Danio rerio: one gene and its partners. The protein of the gene in region 1 purifies or fractionates together with the protein of each later gene. This does not show direct contact. Links are inferred from orthologs where the notes say so. Each region holds a gene or a part of one and is shown in the gene's direction. Other genes may lie near its edges.

What was found. Proteins that work in one complex are often made in the same cells at the same time.
Region 2: the proteins of wrap73 (region 1) and cep135 purify together in Homo sapiens (co-immunoprecipitation; 6 studies listed by BioGRID and IntAct, counting the BioPlex papers as one, with this or other methods). This does not show direct contact. The link is inferred for Danio rerio from reciprocal best matches to the Homo sapiens genes WRAP73 and CEP135.
Region 3: the proteins of wrap73 (region 1) and obi1 purify together in Homo sapiens (affinity purification with mass spectrometry; 3 studies listed by BioGRID and IntAct, counting the BioPlex papers as one, with this or other methods). This does not show direct contact. The link is inferred for Danio rerio from reciprocal best matches to the Homo sapiens genes WRAP73 and OBI1.

What each region holds. Positions count from the first base shown.
Region 1 is NC_133183.1:58,588,143-58,595,816, reverse strand, and holds part of wrap73 (WD repeat-containing protein WRAP73), read left to right. Parts: intron 1-364; coding exon 365-437; intron 438-4,479; coding exon 4,480-4,583; intron 4,584-6,736; coding exon 6,737-6,823; intron 6,824-7,645; coding exon 7,646-7,674.
Region 2 is NC_133195.1:28,387,988-28,392,118, forward strand, and holds the start of cep135 (centrosomal protein of 135 kDa), read left to right. Parts: upstream 1-1,331; 5' UTR 1,332-1,487; exon of another isoform or gene 1,488-1,634; intron 1,635-1,889; 5' UTR 1,890-1,912; coding exon 1,913-2,031; intron 2,032-3,800; coding exon 3,801-3,991; intron 3,992-4,082; coding exon 4,083-4,131. UniProt on the Homo sapiens protein: Centrosomal microtubule-binding protein involved in centriole biogenesis. Acts as a scaffolding protein during early centriole biogenesis.
Region 3 is NC_133181.1:5,242,955-5,247,098, forward strand, and holds the start of obi1 (ORC ubiquitin ligase 1), read left to right. Parts: upstream 1-1,344; 5' UTR 1,345-1,413; coding exon 1,414-1,485; intron 1,486-3,277; exon of another isoform or gene 3,278-3,310; coding exon 3,311-3,446; intron 3,447-3,744; coding exon 3,745-3,836; intron 3,837-4,144. UniProt on the Homo sapiens protein: E3 ubiquitin ligase essential for DNA replication origin activation during S phase.

The sequences.
Region 1 (7,674 bases):
TATAGAGAAATAATTCTGTAAAATAACAAATAATAAATGTACTGGCAGTTTGTTGCAAAGATTTTGTACCATAATATATAACATCAACCCAGACTATATATCACTTTAAACTTTTAATAATGTCAATAAAAGTCACTTTTTCTAACTTTTCAATGTTAAAAGTTGTTGGAAGAAAGATCAAGCTGCCATACTGCAGTTCAAAAGTTTAAATAAACTTGGGAGAAATAAAAAATGAAAACATGAATCACATAATATGGAAAACTGCTGATTTAAAAAAAAAACTAAAATACACAAAACATTAAATAAAACTTGTTAAACTAAATATGTTAATTCCATATATGTTGTTTTTGCTTTATTTTCACAGTTGAGAATCACTGTCTGGTCCCTATGCACAAAATCCGTATCATACATCAAATATCCCAAAGCCTGCCAGAAAGGTGAGTTGATGTGAGCTAGCGTCTAATAGACTTGAGGTATACTTACAACCTCAAATCAGAAGAAAATAGGACAGTACGAAAAAATGCTGATTAAAATAAGAAAGAAGTGATTTCTAAATTTACTTTGATTTGTATTTCATTGTGGACAATAAAAAAATAATATTTAATGTGTTCCTCAAGTGTTTACCTTGAAAAAACAAAACAATAAAAATCATATTCCAATTTTGGTTCTTGCAATGAATTAAAAAAAAAAACTGGAACAGTAAAGCATTTACCACTTAGTAATGTCGCCATTCCTTTTCACAGCACTTAAAAGACGTTTAGGGGCTGAAGACACCAAGTGATGAAGTGTTTCAGGTGTCATTTATTCCCCATTCTATCTGCAAACAAGTCTTGAGGTGGACAACAGTACGGGGTCTTTCTTAGTTGCCTTATGCACCACGCATTCTCTATTGGGGACAGGTCAAGACTGCAGACAGACCAGTCAAATACCTCTATCCTCTGTAGCCTGGAGGAGCCTTCTCTATGTACTTTCCAGCAATAATGGTGTCATCGCAGATGTGCAAGTTGCCTTTGCCAAGGGGACTACCATGACAGAACCTGGCCTTTAGACTTGTTGCTGCTGGTAAAAGTCTGGATGATGCTTTTCTTTTTTGGTCCATGACATCCAATTCTCCCAAAAAATACCCGATATACTGATTTATCTGACCACAGTACACGTTTCCACTGTGTAATAGTCCATTCCTGATGCCCTAGAAGTCAAGTGAAGTCAACGCTGTTTATGGACACTGTTAACATAGGGCTTCCTTTTGGCACAGTACAGTACAGTTTTAACTGGCATTTGTGAATGTAACTACGTTTTGTGGTACTTGACAAAGGTTTGTCAAAGCAGTCTCGAGCCCATGTAGTGATATCTCTAATAGAGGAATGAGGATTCTTGATGCAGTGCCGCCTCAGGGGGTCCAAGATCACGGTTGTTCAGGTTAGGCTTGCACACTTGTCCTTTACACACTGAAATTCCTTCCGATTCCTTGAATCTTTTAATGATGCACTGTTGACTGTTGAAGGTGAAATATCCAAATGTCTTCCTTTCTTTCTTTGAGGAATACTGTTTTTAAGCATTTCAATAATTTTCTCGCGTATTTGTCAGCAAACAGGCAATCCTCGGCCCATCTTTGCTCCTAAATGACTCGACCATTCTTGGATGCTGCTTTTGTACCAAATCAAAATTACAATCACCTGTTAACATCACCTGTTTCACATCACATCATTATTTAACCATTTTACCTGTTTACTAGCCCTAAATTGCTTTTATCGTGACACATTTTTGGAATGTGTGCAGGTCTGAATAAAAGGAAGGTCAAAGAAAATTTAGAAATCACTATTTTCTTTTATTATTTGCGTTTTCCATACTGTCCCAACTTTTTCTGATTTAGATTTGCAGTTTTATCTAGGGTTTGTGCCAGAGGAGATGTAAGGACAAGGTCGCAAATGAATCATGGGAAAGTATTTACCTGTAATACAAGTCCCTGGACGTCCAGCCAGACATGAGCTCCCCCAAACAGCTGGCAAAGAGCACATAGTCCTCACAACCCCTGCTGTCAACATGCAGAGAACGTACGCTCCAGAAGACGTTCACTTCATATCACACATTACTGCCAAAGACTCATTTTCTGGCCAGTGGTGTGCAGATTGAGCTGTAACCTTCAGATCAGCTGCTGGAAGGCTTGTTGAAAGGTGTTGCTGTGGCAGTGTCACGTTGTCCGTCTAACAGAGTGAGTTATGAGCGTTTTAGTCATTTATTGTTGCCGCCATGGGTCAAAGTTATGGAGCGCAATTCCATTCATAACATAATTGACCTTCGTCTTGTTTGGGGGAGCACATGATTTAAAGTAGTTCAACAACACTAAAGAAAAAAGGTTTCTCTTCCTAACAAGATGCTAACAAAACTGTCTGAATGCACTTGAAGTACTTGAAGAGCTGATGTTTTTACATTTTACAAATGCAAGTTGTACAGGGTGGGCCATTTATATGGATACACCTTAATAAAATGGGAATGGTTGGCGATATTAACATCCTGTTTGTGGCACATTAGTATATGTGAGGGGGCAAACTTTTCAAGACGGGTGGTGACCATGGCCATTTTGAAGTCATGGAGCCATCTTGGATCCAACGTTTGTTTATTCAATAGTAAGAGGGTCATTTGACACATCAAACTTATTGGGAATTTCACAAGAAACACAATGGTGTGCTTGATTTTAACGTAACTTTACTCTTTTATGAGTTATTTACAAGTTTCTGACTACTTATAAAATGTGTTCAATGTGCTGCCCATTGTGTTGGATTGTCAATGCAACCCTCTTCTCCCACTCTTCACACACTGAGAGCAACACCGCAGGAGAAATGCAAGCACAGGCTTCCAGTATCCGTAGTTTCAGTTGCACATCTTGTAATAACAACAGGTTTGCATGCATATAAACTACATCGCCATAATCTAATACTGAAAGAAAACAGCTTTGAATCATTCTTTTTCTTGCTTTGAGAGGAAGGCATTTCTTAATACAAAAATAAAAACCCAATTTAGGTCTGAGCTTCTTTACAAGATTTTCTTTATTTTTTTTTTAAGATTTATTTTTGGCCTTTTTGCCTTTATAAGATAGGACAGGGGTTCCCAAACTTTTCAGCTCGCGACCCCCAAAATAACAATGCCAATAACTTGCGACCCCCAATATCCTCTGATGTGGTTATAAATACAGAAACCTTGCATGCAATGCGGCGCACACACACCAATAAACCCAAGTCTATTCTTCGTTATATTTTATTAATGTATGTCAGTGCTGTAAATGTGCTAGAAAGTTTAACCTGGTATTATAAAATCAATCTGCTGCATCTAACGCTATTGCTGAGTCTTTAATATAATGTAATTACCTGAGGGGTTGCAATCCAATAGAACTAGTAACTATAAGCTACTATAGTAACTATATACAGTAGTGTATTAAGTAACTGTAAACGACTATTTTTCTAGTAGGTTATGGATTAAAATGGTAATTCTTATGGTTTAATAAAAATAAATAGATTTTTGGAAATCACCAGGCGATCCCCCCCTTCATAGTCCCGCGACCCCTCGGGGGGTCCCGACCCCCACTTTGAGAACCACTGAAATAGGACAGTATTGAGACAGGAAGTGAAGTGGGAGAGAGAGAGAGGGGGTAGGGTAGGGAAATGTCGTCGAGCCGGGATTCAAACTCACGACGCCCTGACATGCTATTGCACCATATGTCGGCGCGCTAACCACTAGGCTATTGCGCTGACGCAAGATTTTCAATATGAATATTAAAACCCAACCATTCACCAAGCCATATGCCCAAATATTTATAACTGTTTACTCTTTCAATACAGTCCCCCTCCAGGGTTAGGATTGGCTTAAACCTTTATTTTTGTACGACATACATTTAGTTTTTTTTGCATTTAAAACCAACTTCAATTTCAGCAGTGAAAATCGCAGTAACCAAAAGAAGTCTTATTTGCAGATCTCTTTGGCTTGATTCATAGATTTTGCAACTGTCGTCTGCATATAAATGGATTTTAGCCGTGTTTCTCTTGACCTAAGTCATTTATATACAGTGAAAATAACATTGAAGCTAAAATAGATCCCTGTGATATTAGCCCCTTTAAGCTATAGAACTAACAATCATTATGCAAGGACTTCCCTAATTACCCTAGTTAAGCCATTAAATGTCACTTTAAGCTAAATTTTAGTGTTTTGAAAAATATTTAGTGAAATATTATTTACTGTCTTCATAGTAGAGAGACAATAAGTCAGTCATTAGAAATGAGTTATTAAAACTATTATCCTTAGAAATGCTTTGAAATATTATTTCCGTTAAAGCTAAATTAGGAGGAAAAATATACTGGGGTGGCTGATGAATTCTATATAGTTCCCTAGTCCATATAAAATCAACCACAAGAAATTCAATCTATAGTGTGACTTGAATGAATGAATGACTGAATATTTATGTTCAAATGTATAAACATGTTTCAGGCATGGACTTCACTGCAGATGGCCGTTATATGGCGCTGGCAGAGAGACGGGATTGTAAGGACTACATCAGTGTGTTTGTATGTGACGACTGGCATCTGCTCAGAGTGAGTACAACTGGCAGAAGACTTATAAGTTGGGCTATATGGTGCTCACAAAGAGGCACATGTTCAAATGTAGCCAGCAGAACATCCTGGTCGTGTTTCTTCACTTTGTTCATTTTTGTAAATCTAAAAAAAATCTGATTGCATTTTTCCTTATTTAGGATAAATAAAAAATACTTGTATTATTAAATATTCAGAAAAACTTTACATTTACTATCCGCTTGTTAAGTGGTGACGTGTTTGTGACGTATGTAATACTGTTTCCGGGTCCAAGCCGCCATTCATTTGAGTGGAGAAATCCTTCGTTTATGTTCACGTTTTATTCCTATCACACATTAAAGTTAATTTTATATCAAATCATAGTGTACACAACAATCTCTGGGCTTGCTGCATAACAAATACCAACAATTTAACAATTTATAAAAAAATTTTTATCACTTTCTGGCCATCGGATATTAGGCATGGACATATCTACTGCGATCATGATTTTCGAAAGCATTAAATCGCTTTGTAAACGTTTATTATGACCATTTCATGAGTCTCCCCGTTCAGTTGAATAGAGCGCTTGGACCTGGAAGCCGCTTCGCGTGACGTCGCACTTACAGTAACAAGCGGATACAATAAATGATTCAAATCTATTCCAATGTTAATAAATGCTGTAAGATTTGTAATTTTATCCACTAATTTTAACTAATTGTTCTCTTTTTTTAAAGAATAGTTCACCCAAAAAATGGAAATGTACTCAATTTTGGAACACAAAAAAGCAGATATTTCGAAGAAAGTTTTAAACCTGTAACCATTGATCACATAATAAGAATGGAAGTCAATAGTTACAGGTTTGCAGCTTTTTTCAAAAGATCTTATTTTGTGTTCAAATAAAAGAAAGAAACTCAAACAGGCAGGAAACTCTGACCGGCCTTTGTTAGTTGTTAATATTTAATACGTTTTGAATTTCAATTGAATTATAATAATAATATTATTATTTATATTAAAAAATGTTTAATCACTTTTTTGCCTCTATATGAAAACATTTCAATGTTATTAACTGTTAATAATATGACATTTCTGACATCAGATATGACTTTTTTTTTTTTTTTTAGCAAAAATCTAGATGGTGATTACAGTATACAGTTAAAGTCAGAATTATTAGCCCCCCTGAATTATTAGCGCCCCTGTTTATTTTTTTCTGTTTAATGGAGGGTAGATTGTTTCAGCGCATTTCTAAGCATAATATTTTTAAAAACTTATTTCTAATAACTGATTTATTTTATCTTTGCCATGATGACAGTAAATAATATTTTACTTAATATTTTCAAGACACTTCTATACAGCTTAAAGTGACATTTAAAGGCTTCACTAGGTTAATAAGGTGAACTAGGCAGGTTAGGGCGATTAGGCAAGTTATTGTATAAGGATGGTTTGTTCTGTAGACTATAGTAAATAAATAGCTTAAAGGGGCTACTAATTTTGTCCCTAAAATGTTTTTTTAAAAATTAAAAGCTGCTTTTATTCTAGCCGAAATAAAACAAATAAGACTTTCTCCAGAAGAAAAAATATTATCAGACATACTGTGAACATTTCCTTGTTCTGTTAAAAATAATTTGGGAAATATGTAAAAAAGAAAAAAAAACATTAAAGGGGGCTAATAACTCTGACTTCAACTGTAGGTGGGTATTTTGTCTGAGAATGTCACATTATTACTCTCTGAGATTACTTTGGATGTGTTCAAAAAGAAGAATTTTAAGTTATTTATCATAACAAAGTGAAAAATGAGGTCTACTTTTAAGTTTTAAATAAATTAGGATCATTTTAAGGTGACATAGTTACAGTGTAACTATTCATTTAACTACTGAGTAATATTGATTCAAAGAATTTGGGTCAGGTTTAGGGTTAGCTGCATGTAATTATGCAGAATTGATTTGTAAATACTATAGTAAGTGCATGGAACGTGTGTAATTATGTCACCTTAAATTTAAAGTTAGTAATAATGAAAAATAATCTAAAGTTAATGTAAAATTTGCAACATTGTCTTTTATTAGTGTATGATGTTGTCGTTGTTGTTATTATGATGTAATACACTTTCATCTGTATTGATTTTGCCATGAAAATTGCCATAAGTTGCTGATGTGGCAATAAAGAAATCATATTGTCTGCAGCATTTTGAGAGCGAGACTCAGGATCTGGCAGGGCTGGAGTGGTCTCCTAATGGCTGTGTGCTTGCGGTGTGGGACAACTGTCTCGAGGTGAGGTGATCTTTCCTAACGTTTACCCTTGTATACTGTTCAAATTGACTACCTTTTTATTATGTCCAGGCTGTTTTTTGCCACATTGACTTACATTGACTTACTTTTTTTATTTTCTGAAACGTGTCAAGGTAAGTGCACAAAGGTCTCTCTCTCTCTCACACACACACACACACACACTACACTCCATATAACTATATAATTTAAAGCCAAAATCTAACCTTTTTTTGCACTGCAACTGACGATCAACAGTAAATACCACAATTTGTACCTCTTTTCAACAGGGAAAACTAGCAACAATCAAGAATGCATGATTATATAGTGTCAAAGCTTTGCAATCAAAAAATGTGATTTTTAATGGAAGTCAATGGGGCAAAAACCGCCCCGGACATAATGAAAGGGTGGTAAATTTGCCCAGTGTGTATTGTTGAATGCACACTCCATATTTTCAAAGCATTTTCCCAAAATATGTCAAAATAAGATTTGTTACTAAAAATCATTACATTTGCTGAAGCACAGAGGCCAAATGAAGACTCAAAATCACCTCAGAGTGAATGAAAACATCCTTAACAGCACACAGGGGTTAAAGAAAATCACTGCTCATTTTCACAAAACATTTATATACCACCAAATTGCCCAAAGACATAATGCATAACAACTGAAGTCGGCCAATCAGAGCTTTTTGTGATATATTTATATAGAAAATGCTATGACTGCTACAGAAAATTAACATAATTGTACGTTTTTTTATCTTGGAAACTATATTATTTTAATAAAAGTATTACACGTAACTAATTGCATGAACTCTGTTTCACTTTTCAGTATAAAATCCTATTATATTCGCTGGACGG
Region 2 (4,131 bases), on another chromosome or scaffold:
ATGCTGCAATCATTGCACTGCATTATATGTTTTGATCATAAAACCAAGCATTTCAACATTGTCTTACTGAGACATTGTTACGGTTTCTGTAAACTTTATTGTCCCCTTTTGGGGTAACTTGTTTTGCAGGTTAAATAGATTTACACAATTCACAACACACACCAGCATATAACAACAGAAATACTGCAGTGACTACCTCTTCCCATTAAAGTACAGAAAATATTATAAAATTTTAATATATTTAAAAGTAGAATATTGTAATATTGATATTATAATATTATATTTTAATGCTATAATAATATAATATCAATATATTGATTAATTCATTTTCCTTCTAACTTATCCAGCATATGTTTTAGACAGTGGATGCCCTTCCAGCCACAACGCAGTACTGGGAAACATCCTCACATTTATTCACACTCATACGCTATTTGGCAAATTTAGTTCATTCAATTCATCTATAGACCATTTCAATGTAGTGATGTCTTTGGCCCATGAAATTTTCCTGCTGGTTAGCAAATTATTTCCGAACTGTAAAAGGCAATTTAATCATAATGTAATGTTAAAACAGCTATCATAACATAATTTATCAATATGTGGCTCTTTTTGGGTTCTCGGAAGCTCTATAAATTAAAAATGTAAAACAGGAAATAAATTGGGGCCATTGTTTTTGTTTACATTCCTCAAAATTGTCTATTTGGACTGTGGGGAAAACCGGAGCACCAGGAGGAAACCTAAGCTAACATGGGGAGAACATGCAAACTCCACACAGAGTTGCCAACTGACCCAGTCGGGACTCGAACTAGCAACTTTCTGGCTATAAGGCGACAGTGCTAACTACTGAGCCACCATGTAGCCTCATCATATATTATGTATTGATAATATTGTTGGAAGATGATAGAGTGATTGTAACAGATATTTATATGCAATTATTTATGTAATCTGTAAACATAAACATGTATGATAAACAAATGCATGAAAGTATAACGTTATATTTGTTCAGTTTGTGCTCCTAAATAAAATGTGTGTTTTTCCTCCAATAGTTTGCTAAAAAATAGGCAATCGTGCTAAATGGGCAAAGCACCTGATTTATTAAAAATGATGCAAAGCACATAAGAGGATTGAGTTTTTGTCTAAAGGTTCAATACACTGTTCCCATGGGGAAAGGTCTGACTTTACATGTTCAATTATAATTGCACTGAATTTACATGAGTAAAAGCAGTTGTGATCACTTTTTTTATACCGTTTACTACTCAACGTCCACTAAATGTCGCTGTTTCTCAGGTTCCAGTTTGACGGCACTTGAGCAGGACTGTGGTCTTTCCTTTCTCCTCGGCGCCATTTTCAAGCAGTGTTACCGCCACCGGAAGACCATTCACCGCGGGGAGGGGAGGAAATCTGCAGCACACACTGATGATTAGCTAACCGAAAAAAACATTTTACACAATGAAAACGCCGAGAAGTGTTATCCAAACAACGAACAGCAAGTGAGGTGGACTGTTGTGCTGTCTGCTTATTGTGCTTAATGCTTTATTTTTGTGTGGTGGAGAAGCTGCGTATGTCAGAGCTGCAGAATGAAGACTAGAGCACTGATAACAAATTGACAGCGCACTTAAACAACTACAAACATCGGTGTACGTTAAGTACGCTTTATGAAAACGGGGCATTTCTGTATGTGTCGTAGTTAATGTTAAATAATTTGCTGTAGTTTTGTGGTCGCGTTTTAAAACGTAGTTAGCTTACAGAATGTTGCCAATGCGTCCAAAAGTGCTGTCTGATTTGGCAGCGCATAGGTTTCAATACACGGCAAACGATGAAAGTATAAGATAAGAAGATGTAAAAGGTCTTTGTTAAATCTGTTGTTGACATGTGAATCACTTTGCTTGTAGAGCGGAGCGCGTATTTGTGTTGAATGACCATGACGACCAACGCAGAGCGGAAGTTCATCAATCTGCGGAAGCGCTTGGATCAGCTGGGCTACAGGCAGCCGCTGGCCATCGAGAGTCTGCCACTGGTGGAGAAACTCTTCAGGTGAACAAGAGCTCAACTACACACGACTAAAGAGGCTTATCTTTTGGGTCACATCAAGTACTGACACAGATCACCCATACATACATATGATTATTTGTGTATAATTTTACAGATTATTTCTAAATAGTTCATGAAATGTGGTGTACATCAAAAAAACTTTTTAAAGTTTTTGAGGAGTTAACTCAAAACTCTTTGATACTTAAATCTATCATCGTTTACCAACATGTCATTTTAAACCCATAAGATATTCATGTATCTTTAGAGCACAAATCAAAGCACTTTTTATTAAAATCAATCATTTTCATTCTTGCAAGTCACATAGCATTTTCAAGTGGTTTAAGTCTTCTGATAAGACATGATCGCTTGACATTTACAAAACTGATTTCAATAAAATTGTCTTCACTTGTTTTTCAAAAATGTTCAAAATTCTCATTTGTTTGGAATGACATGAGGGTGATTAAACAATAAAAGCACTAGTCTGGGGTAACAAATCAAATAAATGCTGATTAAAATATAATAATACAGTTGAAACCAGAAGTTTGCATAAACTGTATAAAAAGGCACATAACCATTTTTAAAAGTCAGATGTTAATATGTGACTAAACCTTTTCTCTTTTCTCTAGGATTATCAAATTAGTTTCTGTTATGCTTAATAGCAGAATAATGAGAGAGATGTTTTTAAAGAAATTGTTATAACTTCTCTTGAAAGTCAAGTTTACATACAATAAGATTATTATGCCTCTGACAAAGCTCAGATGATGTTGTCAAGGTTTTGGAAGTTTCTGCTTGGCTAATTGACTACATTTGAGTTAACTGGAGGCACAACAGTAGAATAGTATTTTAGGAAAACCTCAAACACACTGCTTCCTTTTGTGACAACATGGGAAAATCAACAAGCCAGAATCAAAAAAAAAAAAAAAAAACACTGGGAAAAAGAATAATTTTTGGAGACATGTCCTGCTGTCTAATGGAACTAATATTGAACTGTTTGGCCATAATGACCAGTGTTACATTTGGAGGACAAAGGGAAAGCTTACAAGCTTAGGAACACCAACCCAACTGTGAAGTATGGGGGTGGCAGCATCATATTGTGGGAGGGACTGGCCCACTTCACAGCATAGATGGCATCATAAAGTTTGAACATTATGTAGAAATACTGAAGCAACATCTCAAGACATCAGCCAGGAAATTAAAACTTGGCCACAAATGGGTCTTCCAAACAGACCATGACCCTAAGCATACTGCCACATTAGCTAAAATTTGCTTTAAGGACAACAGAGTGAATGTTTTAGAGAGGCCATCACAAAGCCCTAAGCTCAAACTAAAAAATGTGTGGGCAGAGTTGAAAAAGCTTGTGCAAGCAAGACAAATCAACCTACAAACCTGACTCAGTCACACCAATTCTGTCTGGAGAAATGGGCCAAAATTTCTTCAAACTATTGTAAGAAGCTTGTGGAAGGATACACATAACATTTGACCAAAGTTATACAGTTTAAAAGCAAAGCTAAAAAACTACCAAGGAAATGTATGTAAATGTTTGACTGTATAGAAATTAATAAAAAAACTTAATAATAATAATAATAAACATTATTACTCTCATTATTCTGGCATTTAGAAAATGTAACTCATTTAGATAATCCTAAAGGAAAAAAAAGGTTATGTTCCTTTCTTAGAGTGTATGTAAACTTCTGGTTTCAACTGTATTTACTGTACTATGTGCAACATGATATGTTAAAAGCATAATCAGTCAGTTTTGATTTGTATCTCAGTGACCTGATCCACACCACAGAGAGTCTCAGGAATGCCAAGCTTGCTGCAGGTAAGACAGAAAAGGAGAGCCGCAATGTGGATGCTATTCTGGAGCCATATAAAACAGAAAATGCCCGGCTAGTCAAAGAAAACAACGAGATGCACCTTGGGCTTTTGAAACTGAGAGAAGAGAAGGATCGGATCAGCAGGGGTGTGGGTCAAATTTAATCCCTCAAACACAGTTGCAGACAGATTTTAAACCAAAGGGAACGGTTATAATGTTCACTATTTTCCATTAACAGAGTTAAAGGCGTACATCAGGAAACTGGACCATGAAACATCCGATCTGAA
Region 3 (4,144 bases), on another chromosome or scaffold:
ATAATGGTTTATACTGTCGCAATAAAACTCTCGAAACAAAGGGCTGACTTTAAGAGACCAAACGCTTTGGGAGAAAAGGAGGCAAACACTATTATAAATGCATTAAAAATGTTTGGTGTAGTAAATAAGTGAATAAATAAAAAACATCAATATTTTTTTATGATATATAATAATAAATAATCAAAAATAACAAATAAATAAAACAATAAAAATAACAAAATAATAAAAAATAAATAATTTACAATTATATATATATATATATATATATATATATATATAACAATAAATAAATATTTTCATTTTATATAATAAAAATAATTAAAAATAATAAACAAATAAAACAATAAAAAATAAATAAAAATAAGTATTTTACAATTATATAATAATAATAATAATAAAAATAATGAATAAATAAATAGATAAATAAATAAATAAATATTTTAAATTATATATAATAATTAAAAATAAAATAAATTAAATAAAATAATTAAAAAATAATTAAAAACATTAAAAATAAATAAACAATCAAATTAATATTGTACAATTATATATAAATAATAATAATAATAATAATAATAATACTAAGAAATAAATAATTATTTTTATAAGATAAATAATAATAAATAATTAAACATAATAAATAAATAAAACAATAAAAAATTAAAATAAATAGTTTACAATTATAGAAATAATAATCAAAAAATACATAAAATTTCATCTGGCTTTTAATTGCTGTTATAGGGTCTTACTATAATAAATATTATTTTATAACATATTTATTATTATTAAAAGTAATCTTTATCATTTACTGTTAAATGCTACTACTAATAATGATGTTTACTGAGAGAATGCATGCATATTTTATTATACAAAAATGAAATATTATAATTTATTACTACTCCTACTATTAATTAAACTATTGGTATTAGCTTAGATGATGATAATAATAATAATAATAATAATAATAATAATGCTCACTAAAAGAATGCGTACATATTAGCAGTATATAAGATACAATACAATGTTGATGAAGTTATTAAAATTAACCCATGTATTAATAAATACTACTTCTACTAATAATAATAATGCTTACTGAAAGATTGCTTACCTATTTTATTAGCAGTATATGAGATACAAACAATATTTTTTCAAGATTGAACTGAATAGTTTGTGGCTAATATTTTCTAAAAAAAAAAACAAAAAAAAAAAACAAGAGTTTCCTGCTTGGGAGCAAAACAAATGTACAATAAAACTAGCACTTGATTTCCTTTACATAAAAGCGCCACATTGAGATTTACGACAGACGCGTTTTACAGTAGAGCTCTGCGCTTGCCGTAGTCGCGTGGGTTCCTCGCCTCTTTTTGTCTCTGTTGGAGGGAGTTTTGGATCATGTTGTGCATTTAAGGACTAATCATGGCGCAAAGTTTTCAAAACGTCACTCTTTCGTTGACTTTACCCATATCCTGTCAGATTTGTCTCGGAAAGGTAACAAACTTTTAATACACTTAGTTTAAGTTACCGACAGAAGTTAAACTCGTACAGTGTGCTCGTCAACATCATGTCATTGTTGCATCTTAAATTATGTCTCGTTATGTCCATTATTTATTAATATATCTTTAACATAAAACTATTACGTAAGACACTGTGATAAAATAACGCCTATTAAAGATACAACGTCTAGAAACAGCGATAATTTCTAACAGTAAGTTAACTTACATTTGGTTTGAACAAACAAATTCCTGCAGGTTAACATTGAAGTTAAGTTGGTTTTATATTCACACATTCATCCTTAATAATATAGTTTCACAAAAGCTAATTCTAAATAGGGAAATCTTATTAGCAGCCAATGACTATCAAAGTACAGCATTGTTTACAGTTAAATAAATAGTGCTAATGTTGTTTTGAATCCATACTTTCATGCTTAAGACCGAATATTCAATGTAGCATGGTAAACAATATACGAACTGTTAAATGACCGAATGCGCGAATATAACTTTACCTTCATCTGGTTAACTGTGTTTATTACAGTCCACCCTATACACAACTTAACCTAGCTTTGCTGATTTAGAGTGTAATGTAATGATGCTTTGGTACGATAATTATTGTGAAAAGCGCTATTATACCAGTACACTTAAATAGAACTAAATTAAACAACAAAACATTCAAAAGCACCAGCCCGGTATTTACCTAAACACTTTTACTTCTCTGCTGCGTTGAGATGTATTGCTCAAAATGCAGTTAATGCTAACTGTTAAAAGCGTTTGCTAACATATGCATGTTTGACATGCAACACCTCATCTGATTGGTTTAAGTTTGTTAATGGGCAGGGCAAAGAATTTACTGAGGCAGGATGGGAAAATGGACTTGCTGAGGGTATTTTTTTTTTTTTATCATCTGTCTGTCTGTCCGTCCATCCGTCCGTCCGTTCATCCATCCATCCGTTCATCCATCCATCCACCCACATATATATCTGTCTGTCTGTCCGTCCGTCGGTCCGTCTGTCTGTCTATTTATCTATCCATCATCCATCCACCCACCCACATATCTATCTATCTATCTATCTATCTATCTATCTATCTATCTATCTATCTATCTATCTATCTATCTATCTATATCCATCCATCCATCTATCCATCCATCCATCCACCCACATATCTGTCTGTCTGTCCGTCCGTCTGTCTATTTATCCATCCATCCATCCATCCATCCATCCATCCATCCATCCATCCATCCACCAACATATCCGTTCGTCCGTCTATCCACATATCTGTCTGTCTGTCTGTCTGTCTGTCTTTCTGAATCCTAGTAATCTAGAAGTATTGCATCATAAATATTTATTGTTACTTTATTACAATATTATATCGTACCCTGTAAAATTGTATTTAGAATATTTTTACTAGCTTTTATTCACGTTTATATTAATTTCATATACAATGCTATTATTTAGATTGCTAATTTTTAAATATATTTTATCAAGTACCTGTCAAAATAAATATGTAGTTTAATTTGTACATAAATCCACGTCACCCTGAACGACAATAATGATTATTAATTCATCCATATTTTGACATTTTATATTATTTGAAGCATTTTATAAGTAATTAGCTTTTAGATTTAATATGCTTCTGTGTATGTGAATCATCATTTTTAGGTAGAATTTTTGACCCACATGCATGAGTTATTTGTCATCTTTGTTAACAATGATGAGTAATGTAGATAATGATCATTGTTAGTTGTCATGAATATCAACAAGCATGAATCATGATGCTTAATTTACCTGTTGTTGGTTTTTTTTGGCTCTGATTCGCAGGTGCGTCAGCCGGTCATTTGTTGCAACAACCATGTGTTCTGCTCCAGCTGTATTAAAGTCTGGCTGGAGAAGAGCAGTCAGTGTCCCACCTGTAGAGTGGCCATCACCCCAGAAAACCCCTGCAGAGAAATCATTGGTAAAGTCAACACACTTCCTGGTCAAACCTTGCTGTTATTGAAATATGAAGCTCTTTTTGAATGTGATTAAATATAATTGAAGTAAAAATATTTAGTCTTCCTTTGAAATTTAAATTATTTTATAATATTTCCCAAGTGCTGTTTAACGTAGACACTTTTCCCCTCTGCTCTGTTACACATCACTTGGGAAATATTTGGAAAAAGAATACAAAAATTCACAGGAGGGCTAATCATTTTGCCTTCAACTGTATGTTTCTTCATGTTTGACAGTGTGTGTGTCTGTCTGTATGCTCACAGGAGCCACAACCGATACTGACTCCAATGAGAGCAATTCTGTAAAGAGACGCCTCCGAAAGACTCGAGGGGAGCTGCTTTTACGAGAATATGAGGTTCTTTTGCTCAAACACCCAATAAACTTATCGTTTGTTTTCTTTGTTGACGTTTCTAGTGTAGGGTAGCCTTCATTTACAATTCACCTACATCAGGGGTGTCCAAACTAGGTCCTGGAGGGCCGGTGTCCTGAAGAGTTTAGCTCCAACCCTAATCAAACACACCTGAACTAATCAAGCTCCTACTAGATATACTAGAAACTTCCTGCCAAGTGTGTTGAAGCAAGTTGGGAGCTAAACTATGCTGGACACCGGCCCTCCAGGACTGAGTTTGGACACCCCTGACCTACATCCAATGTTAAAAACCA